Linked DNA regions of Notamacropus eugenii. The protein of the gene in region 2 purifies or fractionates together with the protein of the main gene of each other region. This does not show direct contact. Links are inferred from orthologs where the notes say so. Each region holds a gene or a part of one and is shown on either strand. Other genes may lie near its edges. The genes, in order: NPHP4 and NPHP1.

Region 1 (7,225 bases), on a different chromosome or scaffold from region 2:
ATCTCTCAATTGAGTGATTATGAAAATAGTCTTGGAGAAAATCACTTCTAAAGGACTGCCTGTTCCTTTCTCATGTTTTCCACAAGGATACTTTCCATATTGCCAGAGATAATTTTCCTTAAAGATTTCACAGAAATCAAAAAGTGAGCATTTGGTTGGTGGTTGTTGCTGTCTTCTCAGTCACCTTGAATAATAAAACCATCTATGATATTTCCATTCTTTTGGAATCCTCTGCCCTCTGAAGAAGCCTGAAAGTCAAACCTTGAATGCCTTTAAAATTACATCACCCCCAAGACTGAGTTCTTCATGTGTTTGGTCAAGTCCAGGGTTTCTTCCCACTATTATCCTAAGTGCTATTTCTACTCCCCTTTATAGCAGACCAGATCCTGAGGCAAAAGAATGAAACACCATGGCTATTACACCGTTATTCAGTGACGAGTATAGTTAGCTGTAGATAAGCTGGCAAATCTGTTTCCTTTCACACTTACTTGTTGGTCTCCTTCCAGTTTCATCTACAGATGCTCTCAGGATGATATGGCTTAACTGAGTCTCACTTCTTTATGTAACAGATGCTGGCAAATAAGTAGTAATTATCTTTATGATTATCTGTTTACTTATGCTTACCATGAGCACGGTGGGCCAAAAGCAATGTCATAAAGATATTTTAATTAGCTCAAGTATATATTTTATCTTCTGCAACTTGAAGATCAATTTGGTATTTAATATTTTTCTTTCAAGGACAAAATCATCTATCTTAACCGGTATCAAGGACTAATAAATCTAACTTGAATTTCTTCTACACCTTTATGTTCCCAGGGAAAATGACAGTAAGGCAGCTAGGTGGCCCAGTGGATAGGGTGAGGGGCCTGGTGTCAGAAAGACCTGAATTTGAACCCTGTCCCCTGGGCAAACCACTTAACCTCTGCCTCAGTTTTTTCAAATGTGAAATGTGGATCGCAGTACCTCGGCCTCATGAGGTGGTTGTGTGATTCAAGTAAGATAATACAAGTAAAGCCCTTGGCATAGTGCCTAGAGGATAGCTAGCCTTTAATACATGCTTGCCCCTTTCCTCTCTGGCACACAGTAGGCCCTTCACAAATGTTTACTCAATTGAATTAATATTAGTTGGATTCAGTTCCATCATTGAATGAGAGAATGAAAGAAATATGGGGAAATATTGTCAAAATTTTCCAAGTGGAGGAGTTTGAACACATTCTGAATAAACTAGTGAGGAAAAGGTATGTGTGTTCGTCCTTTGTTGCCAAAGAAGACCATGCCATCAGAGAAATAATGACCTGACTCACACTTGACTGTTTTGAGTGAGGGAAGGCTGTGCAGGTTACCAGCCTCACTTCTCCTCCAGAGCCATCAGAATTCAGTGATTCATCAGGATGACTGGAGATGACCCAGGATGAGGCAAATGGGGTTAAGTGACTTGCCCAAGGTCACACCGCTAGTGAGTGTCAAGTGTCTGAGGTGAGATTTGAACTCAGGTCCTCCTGACTCCTGCACTGGTGCTCTATCCACCGCACCACGTAGTTGCCCAGTAAGGAAAAGGTAGGAGATATATAAATAGAGATTGATAGAAAGACAAGCTGGTGAGGAAAAAGGGGTGTGTGTGTACACACACACACACACACACACACACACACACACACACACCCTCAGCCTATATAGATATACATACAGATGTGTCTATATATAGATATAGATATAGATATGTACATATCTATATCTATATCTATATCTATATATGGGCCATGAGAAGAAAATGACATAAGGAAATCCATGGAGGAAAAGCCAATAGTATTCTAGGGCAACAAAGCTGGCATGAGAATACAACTGAAACATGGCCAAAGGTGAACAAAAAGCAGAGTCCTCGGGGAAGGAGGTAAGTTTTCAGCGTCCCAAAGGCCTTTTTTCCCCACATTTTGATGATGAAAGTGAGGCTGCTTCAGACAATTTTCGTGGGAGGAAAGGAAGGCTGAGGGTTGTTCGCCTGCCCTAGCCCGGCTTAGTGGAGTGGGATCACAAAAGGGAAGGATTTGGGAATAGGTAAAAAATTTAAAAAAGGGGCAGGAAGGAGAGAAATTGAGTGATGGGGAAATTTTGAAAGGGAAGGATCTGAGGGGAGGTTATTCCCAAGGCAAGAGGACTTGGGTAAAGTGAAAAGGAGTAAGAGGAGGAAAGAGTGAAGGGAGGGGAAAGAAAAAAGCGAAGACAAGACGGGGCAGAGGCGAAGGGGACGTTCGGAACTCGGGGGGAGGGCTAGGAGGAAGAAGGGGGAAAGCCAGGGGGGAGAAGGGAGCAAGGACTGGGAAGGGGGGGGACTAGGGGTCTGGGGGACTAGGAGGGACTGGGGGACTGGGGTCAGGGGGCATGGACCCCGGGGGCACCGGGGTGGAAGGGGCGCACCCCTCCAGCACCCGAGGCACAAACCGGGGAGGGGAGAAGGTGGGGCTGGAAGGGGAGAAAAGCCCAGCCGACGTCCCGGACCAGCCCTTCCTCGGCTTGCCTCAAAATAAGCAATAAAGAGACTCGGGAATAGGAGGGAGAGGGATCTGGACCAAGCAGCTGAGGTCAGAGGGCGCGGGTCAGGAGTCGGGGTCGCCACCGCGGGCCCCTCTGGGCCTGATCGCCGAGGGACAAACCAACTGTCCTCGCGGGGGGACGACCCCTCTTCCCACCTAGATCTCGCCCTCCGCCTCGCTCTCCCGGCACAGCCAGGCTCTTGGACGTCACAAGATGGCCTTGGCAGACCTCTCCTATGTGGGACCCCGAGCCCTCCGACCTCCGGGAAGCCTCTCCCATCGTCTCTTTCCGCCCCATCCCCCCCTCAGGGCTCAATGGTTCCGCCCGCCACCCGGCGTGGTTACCGAGGTGACGGGCCACCGCTACCTCCGCGGAGGAAGGAAGCGCCTTTCAGAAGGGAGATCTCTCCCCACAAGGGGCCCGGCCGACCTGGGAGTGGAGCCCACCTGAGCTGCATGTCTTCCGGACCAGTACGGAGACCTAAGGAGAAGGCTGCCGGTTCTACCCGCTACCGGGCAACCGGGTCCAACGTGGGCGGAATAGGAAGGCCGGAGTTGTCCCAGGCCAAGGACCCGCCCCCACAAGCACCGTCATCAGGGGCCGCGGCCCTTATGGGCCAATCAGAGTCCAGGCCGCCGAAGCCCGACCGGGAGGGTGTCGCCTAGTCGTTGCGGCAATTGGCCGGTCCTGATTTGCATGACTGGCGGATTCACGACCAATGGGAGGGTGACGGGAGACTGTCAGAACCAATGGGAATCGGTAGAGGGCGTGGCCTCGGGAGTCCCACGAGGTGGAGATGCTGCGAGCGGAACCTGCCTGGGTGAGCGGGATTCGGAGGCTCTGAACTCAGCCTCGGGAGAGGGCGGGAAGGAAAAGCCGGAGTTAGGAATAAGAGCCGGAGCCGGAGCCGCAGCCGCAGCCCCCCAGGTGAGCGAGCGCAGGTGAACAGGGCGGGGGCGAGGGGGGACAGGGCCCGCGCGGTGCGCGCTCCGCTCCGTCCGCCGCGGGAGCGGGGCTGGCTGGGCGGGCGCTGCCGGCCCGGCCTGGATGCTGCTTCGAGGGGTCCCCATCCTTCCCCTTCCCTGCCCCCAGCGTGGCGGCGTGGTCCGGAGGAAGAGCCCCGGGTCCGAAGCCCCCGGGACTGGGTTCAGGTGCCACCTTTGCGGTGGGTCAGCTGTGTGACCTTGGGCGAGTCACCACCCTCTCTGAGCCTCAGTGAATTCATCGTAACCGGAGGAGGCTGGGCGGCCTAGAAGACTCCCTCTCCTCTGCCTCTATTTCCCCGTCTCCTATTCCCACCCGCCCTCTTTCCCTCCCCACCTCCATCCCCCCCTTCTCCCCGTCCTCAGTCCCTTTCCTCCCCTCCCTTTGCCAGTTTCCCACCTCCTGCTCATCCGCAGCCCCCCCGTCTGTTTCTTCTGCTTTGCCCCTTTTCTCTTTTCTCTCGCATGTTCCTTCCTCCCTCTCTTGGATCCTTTTCATCTTCTCACCCCTTTCTGGCCTCTCCCCCCTTCCCTTCTGAAGCTGCTTTTTTTCCATGCTCCCCTCCCCTCAGCCTGTGATCTCTTGCAGGCTCCGGACCATCACCGCCAGCCCTTCCGGCCCCGTCGTCCCCTCCCTCTGCCCTCTCACTCCCCATCCTGGGCCCGGCGTGGAGTATCAGGGTGCCTGCGTGCCCTCTCCGCCTTCCTGCTGCAGCTCCTCTGTGAGACTGGTAGCCTGGCTGCTTTACCACTTCCTCCTCCTGCAGCTGCTGCCAGAGCATCCCTCTCCAGAGGTGCCAGGCCACATAGGACTCCCCCCAGGGGCTCACCTTTCCCCGCTTCCAGCTTCTCCCAGGAGCCCCAAGGGAGAGTTACCCTTTGGCCAGGTCCCCTGGCCGTGCTCCGGGTGGACTGTCTGGGGATCAGTAACTCTTCTCTTTCTTCCCCACCCCCCACCCCCACTTCCCCCTCTGTGCCTCAGCTTTGTGATTCAGCATTTTGTGGGTTTGGCAACTGCTCCCCTGCACTGTGGGGATCTGGCCTGTGGGGGAGGAAGCAGGGATGTGTAACCCTCAAATCAGAGGGAGCTCTTGGGGAGCAAATAGCCAGTAAGCCAGAGTCCTATAGATAAACTCTGGTCCACAGCTGGACTTCTTCATCTCCTTTCCTTTCTGCTCTCTGTCTTTCTGTTGAAATCTATCCAAGGGGAGGTGCCAAAAGTAATAGTCCCTAGGGAAATGACCTATTAGCATTTATGAAAATTAATCTATCAGGGCAGCCAGAGAAGCTGGTTCAGACCACAGCTGGCCTCCCAGCTGTTTGGAGTTGTAGCCCCTCTGCAGAACTTCGCCTCACCCTATAATACTGCTGTTTCTGTAGGATTCAAAATGAAGCATGTTGCAAGAGTTTGCTCTAGTCGCCTCATTTGAATAAAACAGCAGATGTAATTGCCCTCCACTGCTCAGGCCTGCAGCCATGCAGATTTGGTGGAAGAGTTCCATTCAAAGATCAAACTTCTCACACTCATGGGTTTTTGCTACTTATGCTTTACCAGATTGGATGGGTGGATGAATGAAAATAAATAAATACATCTTCACTAGGGGAGAACACTTGGACAGGTTTCTGTGACTTTTTCATGCAATCTGGTACACTTTAATATGTGTGAAGTTTGGCCAGTAAAGTAGGCTTTTTGTTTCTGTCATTTTTTTCCTCTGAGGTCCCTCCCAGCTCTAGATCTCTGATCCCATGTAAACATGCTCTTTACTATTCCTTGTGCCCTGGTCCAAGGCTGGAATAGTTTCAGAGTCAAGCTGAAGCCATAGAACTGTAGACAGACCATTCTTATCTAATCCCCTCAGTTTACAAATGAAGATACCATAGCCCAGAAAGAAGAAATGCCTTGCCTAAAGTCAGACAGGTTGGCTCAGGCTGGATTTGAACCCAGATTGTCAGATCCCAGAGCGCTTCACTGTTGCTCAGTCCCTTGACTGGAGAATCATTCCTGGCTCTGGATTAAAGAGCAAGCTTAGCAACCATGTGTAGAAGCAGCTAAGTAACACAAGAGAAATGGATGGTATAGAAAGATTCCTCTCTCCTTCTAAGGACTTTCTACTTCTTTCTTTTTCTGGTGCAGTGGGTAGGGCACTGGACTTGGAGTCAGGAAGACCTGGGGGTCAAGTCCTGCCTTTGAAACTTATGGTGTGACTGTGAGCAAATCACTTAGACTTGGTTTCTTCATCTGTAAAATAACAGTTTTTGTCCAGAGACATGGCTTTGAAAGGCCCTCCCAGCTCTGGATGCTGAATATTTTTAAAGCAGTAAAACTTTCCTCTCTCAATATCAGTCTTACCAAGATATGTGTTTCTTTCTTCCTTCCTTTCTTTTTGAGGCAGTCAGGGTTAGATAACTTGCCCAAAATTACATAGCTAGTAAGAATCTTAGGTGGAAATTGAATTCAGGTCCTCCTGATTCCAGGGTAAATACTATATCCACTGCACCACCTAGCTGCTCTCAAGACATGCCTTTTACATGGTGCCTAATCTCCCCTTTTCAATAACCAGTAGTTATTGAGCCCATCTATGTTCAAGGCAAGAGGAGAAAATGAGGGTATAATGGAAAGAGCAGATTTAGAGTCAGAGGGCTGGGGTCTTGCTCTGTCGTTTACTATTTAGGTGATCTTTAACCTCTCTGGACCTCAGTTTACCCATCTGCAACCTGAGGGTGTTGGCCCACATAGGCTGTAAGGATTTCTTCCAATTCCAAGTCTATGATCCTGTGGTCTTATAACTCATGACGTATTGCCAAACGGTTGCAAGTGACTGGGAGCTGGGAAGACTCTTTGGAGGCAGAGTCCATCTATTTGGAACGAGATGGACTGAAAGAGCTCTTCTCAAACCCAGGGATTTCAGAAGGCAGCTCTGGCACCAGATTTTCATTTGGCACCTTCCATCCTGACCCTGGAGGCAGGGAGCAGGCAAGTCTCTCCATACAGCCCTGTTTGTTGCTTCACCTGCTGTAGCAACTGCCCAGGAGAGGGTGTGTGTCTTCAGCTTGGTTGGCTGTCTAAGCAAGGACATAGCTTGGGTAATTACCAGAGATTCCACTGCTGACAGCAGCCAAGGCTTTCTCCTCCTTTCAGCTCTCCAGGCAACCTCGACAGAAGCCTCAGCAACCTTCAAATGCCATGTCTTTTACTCATCCAATAAGCCTTTATTTAGCAGCTTCACTGTGCCAGGCCCTGGGGGAGCAGAACCAAAAATGGAAATGATACCTGCCTTCAGGAAGCTCACCCTCTAGTGAAGGAAAGCAATAAAGTGGACACAGATTAAATACAAAGTATGCACAAATGAATACCAAGTCATTTCTGGTACGCTCAAGGTACTGGATATACAGTGCTAAAAACAAGCTAGCTCCTTCTCTCAAAGTGCTTACACTCCATTGGGGGATGCAATAAGTAAATATGAAATACTTAGAAAATTAATACAAGCTAGTTTTGGATGCAGAAGGTGTGGGCAGCAACTGCACTGGGATAAGCCAACCCATCCTGGGGAAAGTCAAAGAGTAGGAATCATTTATTAAACACCTACTAGAAGCTGGGAGGAGTCCAAAGCTTAAATGAAATATGGCCTCTATCCTCACGGAGCTCCCTTTTTAAAGTACTTGTCAGACATCATCTCATTTGAGCCTCGTAAGAGGCTCATGAGGTAGAC
Region 2 (7,576 bases):
TTTTTGTATGACTAATGCCTAGTACACAGTATTCTTTACCCCCTCAAATTACTTTGCATTTTTTTTTGTCCATAGAAAGGCTGTATCTCCCAGTAGAATGCCTGCTCCTTTATTTTGCCTTTTATCCCCAGTGCCTAGCATGTTACCCTGTACATATTAGGTGCCTAAAAAAATTCTTATTGGATTGACTGGACCCTGATGATTCACCTAATTCTAAAAAGTCGTCTTACTTCTGCTCCTGAAGTGCTTAATTTTAACTATAGCACTGTAGCTCTCATTCACTGTGAAATACTGTGCCTCCAAGAGTTTTTCCTGCTTTTAGAAGAGATAGAACAGAACTGGATATAATACAGATACCTTAATAAAGTTCTCACCTGTGATGGATTACAAAAGGATGAGTCAGTAGCAATATAATTTAATAACTGACCAGATGAAAAACCACACAAGCCTTCCACGGTAATGGGAGTTTAGCTGAAGAAAGATTTCAGAGTGTTGATGGGTGGTACAGTTGACCTCTTCTGTTCAGGGCAGTGTAGTGGCAAGAGCAGAGGAGAGGGAGTCTGGAGACCTGATTTTCATTCCTGGTTCTATTACAAACTAGATAAAAGGAATTGGCCCAGTCTTTTTCACTCTCTAAACCTTCTCAGAAAGGCATAAAATGAGCCACAGAGGATCATAAATTCAGAGCTGGAGATGTTAGAGGTCACTTAGTGGACCTCTTTCATTTTACAGATAATGAAACTGAGGCCAAGAGAGGTAAAGTGATTTGTGCAAGGTCACACAGGAAGTAATTGCCAAAGCCAGTATTCAAACCCAGACCCTGGCTCCAAATCCAGCACTCATCCTACTGCACCAAGGTTCTCTGGTACCCTGCAGTTCTAAAGTTGCATGGTTCTTTGATTGCAACCCTGTCTGCCTCAGGGATGCGTGGAAATCTCAGAGACACTGGTCTCCATCCTCTCTATTGCTATTGCCACCTTCGTTACCATCTTCATTAGAATGTCCTGTCTTCAGTGGAATATCTTTATTACCAACTTGGTAGATTACTGCAACAGTTCCTCACAAAAGATACTGAATCTCAAGGAAGATGTTGTTTCCCTGGAGAGTAAAAGGGAAGTTAGAAAGGGGGGAGGTTGGGGGAAAGATGATGAATTCAGTTTTGGACATGAGTCTAGTAGGCAGTTGAAGATGGGAGACTGGAGATTAGGAAATGCTAATTGCATACAGATGATTTGGATCTATGAAAGCCAATTAGATCATCAAGTAAAATAGGACAGAGGGAGAAGAGAAGAGAAGGGAAGGGAAGGGAAGGGAAGAGAAAAGAGAAGAAAAGAGAAGAGAAGAGAAGAGATGATAAGAGAAGAGATTAGAGCCCAAGAGAGAGCCTTGGGGGATGATGACAATTAGTAGACTCTATCTAGATGAACATTCAGCAAAATGTCTAACAAGTAGGAGGAGACTCAGGAGAAAGCAGTGTCATAGAAACTTTTCATAGAAAAGGAAATCCCCTTCTACCAACACAGGTCTGCATCTTATCTGTGTTACATGGTATCAGAGAATTGCCTAGAAAGGTTATGACTTGCCCAGAGTTAAGTAGCTACTAAGGCAACACTTGAACTAGATCTTCTTGACTTTGAGGCTACCTTTCCACCTAGTTTAACAAATGCTTGTTGAGTGGAATCCACCTTTCCTATAACTACCAAACAGATTTTATCCACAAATTTGATATCAGTCCTCTAAAACCCCACAAAACTTCCAAGGCTCCCTATTATCTACGTTGAGTAGCATTCAAAGCCCTCCAAAGTCTGGTTCGTTCATCCTCTTTACTACTCTGCCTTCTCACTAGATATAGTGCTGCCTTTGCCTCAGACTCTATTCACACCTACCCTTTTGGTTTGTTTAATTCCTACCAATCCTTTCCATGTCCAACTTAAACACCCCCTCTTCCATGAAATCTTCCAGGAAACTGCCACCCTCCTTTTCAATCAAACAACAAGTATTTATAGATTATCAAGTATGTGCTAAGACTGTGCTAGGCAAAGACAGAAGCCCAATGAACAAAACAATCCCTATTTGCAATGAGCTTACATTCTAATGGGGAAGACATTAGAACATATATATATATACACACACACATATATATGCAGCACATAATAGTTATATATACAGAATATATGTACATTTATATACAAATATTTACAATATATATTTAAATAAAATAAAAACAACCATACACAAAGTAATAAGATACAACCTCCATCTCAGGAGGGAGTCATGCTCACTTTCCACTCCACTCTGCCCCTGCACCTCCAGATTACTTCTCTGCCTTGCCACCCTGCTCCTTCCAGCTCCCTTTTTGTATCTTCTCCCATTAGAATACAAGCTCTTTGAGGTCAGGAACTGTATTTTTGTATTGCCAGCCTTAGCACACCTAGCATGGCCCCTGGTGCGATCTTAACAGACGCGTTTCCTATCTACAGGATAGTCTGGGAGGAAGGAGGCAGGAAGGGTCTTCTGCAGAAGTCAGTGACTGCTCTGCATCTTAAAAGAATAAAGGGACGGGGTGGAGCAGAGCAAGGTGGGAGTACATTCCAAACCAGTGCAAACATAGGGAGACAGGAGAAGGAGCAGTATGTATGGGGAAGAGAGAGAAGGCCGATTTGGGGGAACGCAGACCGCAGCGGGCATTCCAGCCCGCATGGGCTCCAGCTCGCACTTGGCCCGGCATCACGATGGAGTGCGGCCAGCTCAAAGGCAAGGGGAGACCGGACTCCAGGGGCTGGAAGCCTCCTGGAGCGAGCGAGTGAGGGATGAAGGGGCGGGGGAGAGGAGGGCGGCCGGGGGGTCCCGGGGTCCCCAGGCCTGTGTATGCCCCAGGCACCGGGTCGGCGGGGCCGGGGAGGACGAGGCGGGAGCCCGGGTCCGGGGAGCCTCGCTACCTGTTGTCGGAGGTCCTGGCTGCGGCGCTGCACCGCCTGCAGGGGCCCGCGGCCCCTCCAGCTCAGCATCCCCGCCGAGGCCGCGTCCCGGGGGCTCCCGGAGGCTTGGTGCCCGTAGTCAAGGAGACCGACGTGGCGGCGGCGGCCGGCGGTGACGCATCACAACGCGCGTGCGCAGAGGCCCAGCCCCAAGAAAAGATCCGTCCGAAGCCGCCGCCCCCCGAAAGCCTCCCCCCCACCAACCCCAGAGTCTACCGGGCTCGGACACGGCGCTGCCTGTTAATGAGCACATGCCAATAACCCTCCGAACTACATGTCCCAGAATGCAATGGCAATGCAGCGTTCCACCGGGACTTTTAGAAAGTGTCCCGCCGCCCGGAGGCCTAGGAAGAGGCGGGACCAGGGAGGTACCGCGGGACCTGCGGGCGTTCGTGCCTTAACGGCTCGCAGAACGTCTTCATTAAGCGCATCCCCCTCGGGGGGGAGCAAGGAGATGTTCCGGGGAGCCCGTTCGGACTCCGAGCTAACTTTGCTTAGTAAATGGCGCGCGAGCTGCCGAGTAAGTGCTCCTTAGGGGCGGGGTAACGCTGGGCACGTCCCTAAGGCCGGGGTTCTCGAGTTAGGCCGGCATGGCTGGAAATGGCATTTGTACCGCCTTCGGCGCTGCGCACGTGCTGCCGAGGGAAGCTAGAGGAGGCTGGGAAGCCGAGCTGATCGGGTGTACTGCCCGGCGTCCGCCCGCCCCGAGGCGGTCCTCCCCGCACCAGCCGCGGCTTCTCCAGACCGTGAATCCTTTCTCAAACCTCGCAGCGTGGCCTCTCCCGCAGAACCTTGCTTCTTATTTTACTGAAAGGTCCCCCGCTCCCCTCCTCACCTCACCTCACCCCACCCAGGGGCCTTCTCCCACCGCTATCCCTTTATCCCTACTCAAATGGGGCAGCCCTTCTTGCCAAGGTAAGCCCCTTTACATGCATTAGCGATCGCATTCCATCCCATCTTTTTCAGCTGATTGCCCCCTTCTATCATCCCAACTGTCTCACCGATCTTCGGTCGTTTCCTGTTGTCTCCCACATGCCGGTGTCTCCCACATCCTCAAAAAAGCCTTCACTTGACCCATCCGTCCCTGCTAGCTGTCATCCTGTATCTCTCCTCTTCTTGGTGCCAACTTCCTTGAGAAGACTTAATAGCTGCTTCCCCTTCCTTTCTTCTCACACTTTTCTTAACTCCCTATAATCTGGCTTTTGACGTCATCATTCAACTGAAATTGCTTTTTCCAAAGTTAATAATGATTTCTTAATTATCAAATCTAATGGACTTTTTTCAGTCCTTGTCTTTTTTGACCTGAGACCTTTGACACTGCCAAAACCTCTCTTCTCCTTTATACTCTCTTCTCCCTAGGTTTCCCTGACTCCTGGTTTCTCCTCCTACCTGACTTCTCCATCTCCTTTGCTGGATCTTCATCTTAAGTCACTGGGGCTAAAGGTGGATGTCCCATAGGGCTCTGGCCTGAAGTCTCTCCTCTTCATCCTCTATACTATTTCACTTGGTGATCATATTAGCTCCTAAGGATTGAGTGATCATGTGCAGGGAAACACCGTCTTCCCAGTCACGCAGGCTCACAATCTAAGTGTTCTCCTCATCCCCTTACTCTTTCACCTCCTATATAGTCTGTTCTCAAGGCCTATATGTTTTACCCTCCTATCTTTCCTTTACTGTACTCATCCAAAAAAGCTGGTGAGGTCCAAACTGTAGTACAATGTCCATGTTGACCCATCTGTATTTTTATTTTCCATGTGTACTACTGCCCAATTTTGCTACCTGATCAATAACACCTTGCATTTCCTTTCACCAACACTGAATTCCAGCTCCCTTCTACACTAACCACTTTAACGGTGGTTGACAGTGATCTATACATATCTATATGGACATGGGTGTTTGCTGAGGGTCTGTCTAGAATTCCCTTCTCCCTTCTCATCTGGCTTGGTGACCTCATCAACTCCCATAGTTCCAACCATTATTCCTATGCAGATGATTCCCAGAACTATGTATGCAGCTCCAACCTCCTTTCTAAGTTCTAGTCTTGTCACTAACTGCCTATTGGGTATTCTGAACTAGATGTTCCAGACAGCTCAGACTCAACATGTACAACACAGAACTTATCTCCTCTACCTCCTCTTCCCAATTTCCCTATTACTACTATCAGTGCCTGAAATAAACGTTCACCCTCCTCACCTCCAACATTAAAGTTTCCCTGACTTCCTTCAAGCTTCAACTCCGGTGGCCTTTCCTAAACTCTTCATACCTCCCCCATCAGTGCCTCCTGAGATTACCTTTCTACTGTTGTTCATGTGTCTGATTCTTCATGACTCCAAGAATTACTTTCTCCATGGGGAAAACTCCATGGAAGATACTGCAGTAGTTTGCCATTTCCTTCTCCAGTGGATTTTGTGTGTGAGAGAGCTCTCCACTATGACCCAGGTAACTGCATGGAATTTTCATTGAGCTATGCAAGCCCCTGTCAACACAAGGCAGTGATCGAGGACAGGCTCTTTTAGAAAAATGGGTTGAGTGACTAGTCAAGGGTCACACAGCTTGTAGTATCTGAGACTGGATTTGAACTCGTCTTTCTGGATCAGCATTCTGTCCTCTTTGTTCTCTCTTTAAATACTAACCATATCTTAGTAATTTGTATGTTGTCTCCATTAGAACATGAGCTCAGGCAGAGTAGAAACATTTTGTGACTTAGTAGGCCATCTGGAATTGCTATGGCCAAATTATTTGGCCTTGAAGACAGGGATGAACTTCTTAACAAATCTAGGTTGTTCATTGGACGATGACAATCAAGCCCATCACCAGGCCTATATCTGAAGGCTTTCCAGTTTGGTAGGACCTTAGGGGGAGGGAAGGTAAAGAAATAGAATGATATAGAATGCTATAATTAGCAGAGCAGGGGGAATCAAAGAGGAAAAGAGATTTACTAAGGGTAGAAGCTCATAAGAACAGACATAAAGAGGCAGCCCAGGACAGAATTTAGAGTTCCAAAGAGTATATTACTATGGTGGTGTGAGTCTAGCACATCTCAGTTTCACGGGGTGAAGAAATAAGCTGATTGTCTTTACAGGACAAAGGGTGTGGAGGACAAGGAAGGAAGAGGTCTTGGATAGAGATAAAGATTCAAGCTCTTTTTCTGGTTGATGCAAAAGTATAAGATTTCAACAATAAAATACTTCACTCGAAATATAAGATGAAACAAGAAAGATGATTAAATGAAAATAAGGAAGAAAAAACTGGACATAAAAACTTCCATTTCCCTATTCTGTAGTTAAAAGCTATACTGAAGCAATCTTTGCAAATTTGCAGATGGCAAAAATAACAAGTCAGTAATAGAGGGCCTACTGGAAGATAGGAATATTAATAAATTGTTGTTAGACCACTGAACTGGTCTAACCATTATGGAAAACAATTTGAAAGTATGCAAGAAAAAGTGATTAAAATGTCTTTTTATCCACAGATACCACTGCTGGGCACCTCAGGCAAGGAGGTCAGACAGAAATACCATAAATATCAAAATATTTGTTGCTACTACAAAAAGTGGGCTAAGAACTACAAACAAGGTGGATGCCCATCAACTGGGAAATTGCTAAATGACTGTTGAATATAAATGTAATGGAATATTTTTGCATTAAAAAAAACAAAACAAACCAAAAGAAAGAACAGTTCTGAGAAACACGAAGATATAAGGTGCTGATGCACTGTGAAGTGGAACCAAGAAAACAATATACACAACCATCATGTAAACTAAAAAGAACAAAGCAAAACATTGCATGTAATTACATGTATGTAATTCCAGTGAACAAGTGTGGCCCTGAAGAAAAGATGAGGAAATGCTCTTTGCTGAGTGTTAAACATTTGTGTGTTTTTGCTGAACTTTTTGTCAAAAGAGAAACTGGGGGAGGAGAAGTATATTTGGATATGACTGTAATATAAAAATAAAAGCCATCAATTAAACTTTTATAATATATATTCAAGTAGACAAATAATTTGCATACATATCATGAAGGGAAAGATTCCTTAAAATAGCACAGATAACCTTGTTCAATAACCTTCTGATTAGCTCAGTTTTCTTCTGTGGAGGTAGAGTGGTATTACTTACTGTTAGTATAATCAAGGGCACTTTTTTCCCTTTAAAAAAACTGTAGTACCTTGGAACTGGCAAATTAAATCAAGAACAGATTACAAAACTCATAGTCAATATTGAATTACTTTAACTCACAGCTTTACAAATTTTTTCACAAACAAGATTCTTGCCAATAACAATACTGTTATAGGTACATTTTGTACTTCTTTGGAATCTTCTCAGAAATTCAAACACACATCTTACACACATCATCTCACTTATTTTCAGAAAGTCCTTGTGAGCAAAATGGCATGTTCAGGTAAAACCATCATCACCAGATGAAATAACCTGATTCTTCTGATCTTCAGTCCTACAAAACTATTCAGTGAATAAGGATATTCAACATTATTTTCTCCTTTTAAAAAAGGAGATTGAAAAGGTATCCAACTTTTTTAATTGTAAAGATAAAAATCCATCGATAAGCTGCAGGAAGAAATAGTTTCTGTCCAATTCTTTACGT

The links.
Region 1: the proteins of NPHP1 (region 2) and NPHP4 purify together in Homo sapiens (co-immunoprecipitation; 6 studies listed by BioGRID and IntAct, with this or other methods). This does not show direct contact. The link is inferred for Notamacropus eugenii from reciprocal best matches to the Homo sapiens genes NPHP1 and NPHP4.

The regions. Positions count from the first base shown.
Region 1 is NC_092876.1:44,038,627-44,045,851, forward strand, and holds the start of NPHP4 (nephrocystin-4), read right to left. Parts: upstream 3,105-7,225; 5' UTR 2,979-3,104; intron 1-2,978. UniProt on the Homo sapiens protein: Involved in the organization of apical junctions; the function is proposed to implicate a NPHP1-4-8 module. Does not seem to be strictly required for ciliogenesis. Required for building functional cilia.
Region 2 is NC_092872.1:605,542,355-605,549,930, reverse strand, and holds the start of NPHP1 (nephrocystin-1), read right to left. Parts: upstream 3,167-7,576; 5' UTR 3,009-3,166; coding exon 2,940-3,008; intron 1-2,939. UniProt on the Homo sapiens protein: Together with BCAR1 it may play a role in the control of epithelial cell polarity. Involved in the organization of apical junctions in kidney cells together with NPHP4 and RPGRIP1L/NPHP8. Does not seem to be strictly required for ciliogenesis.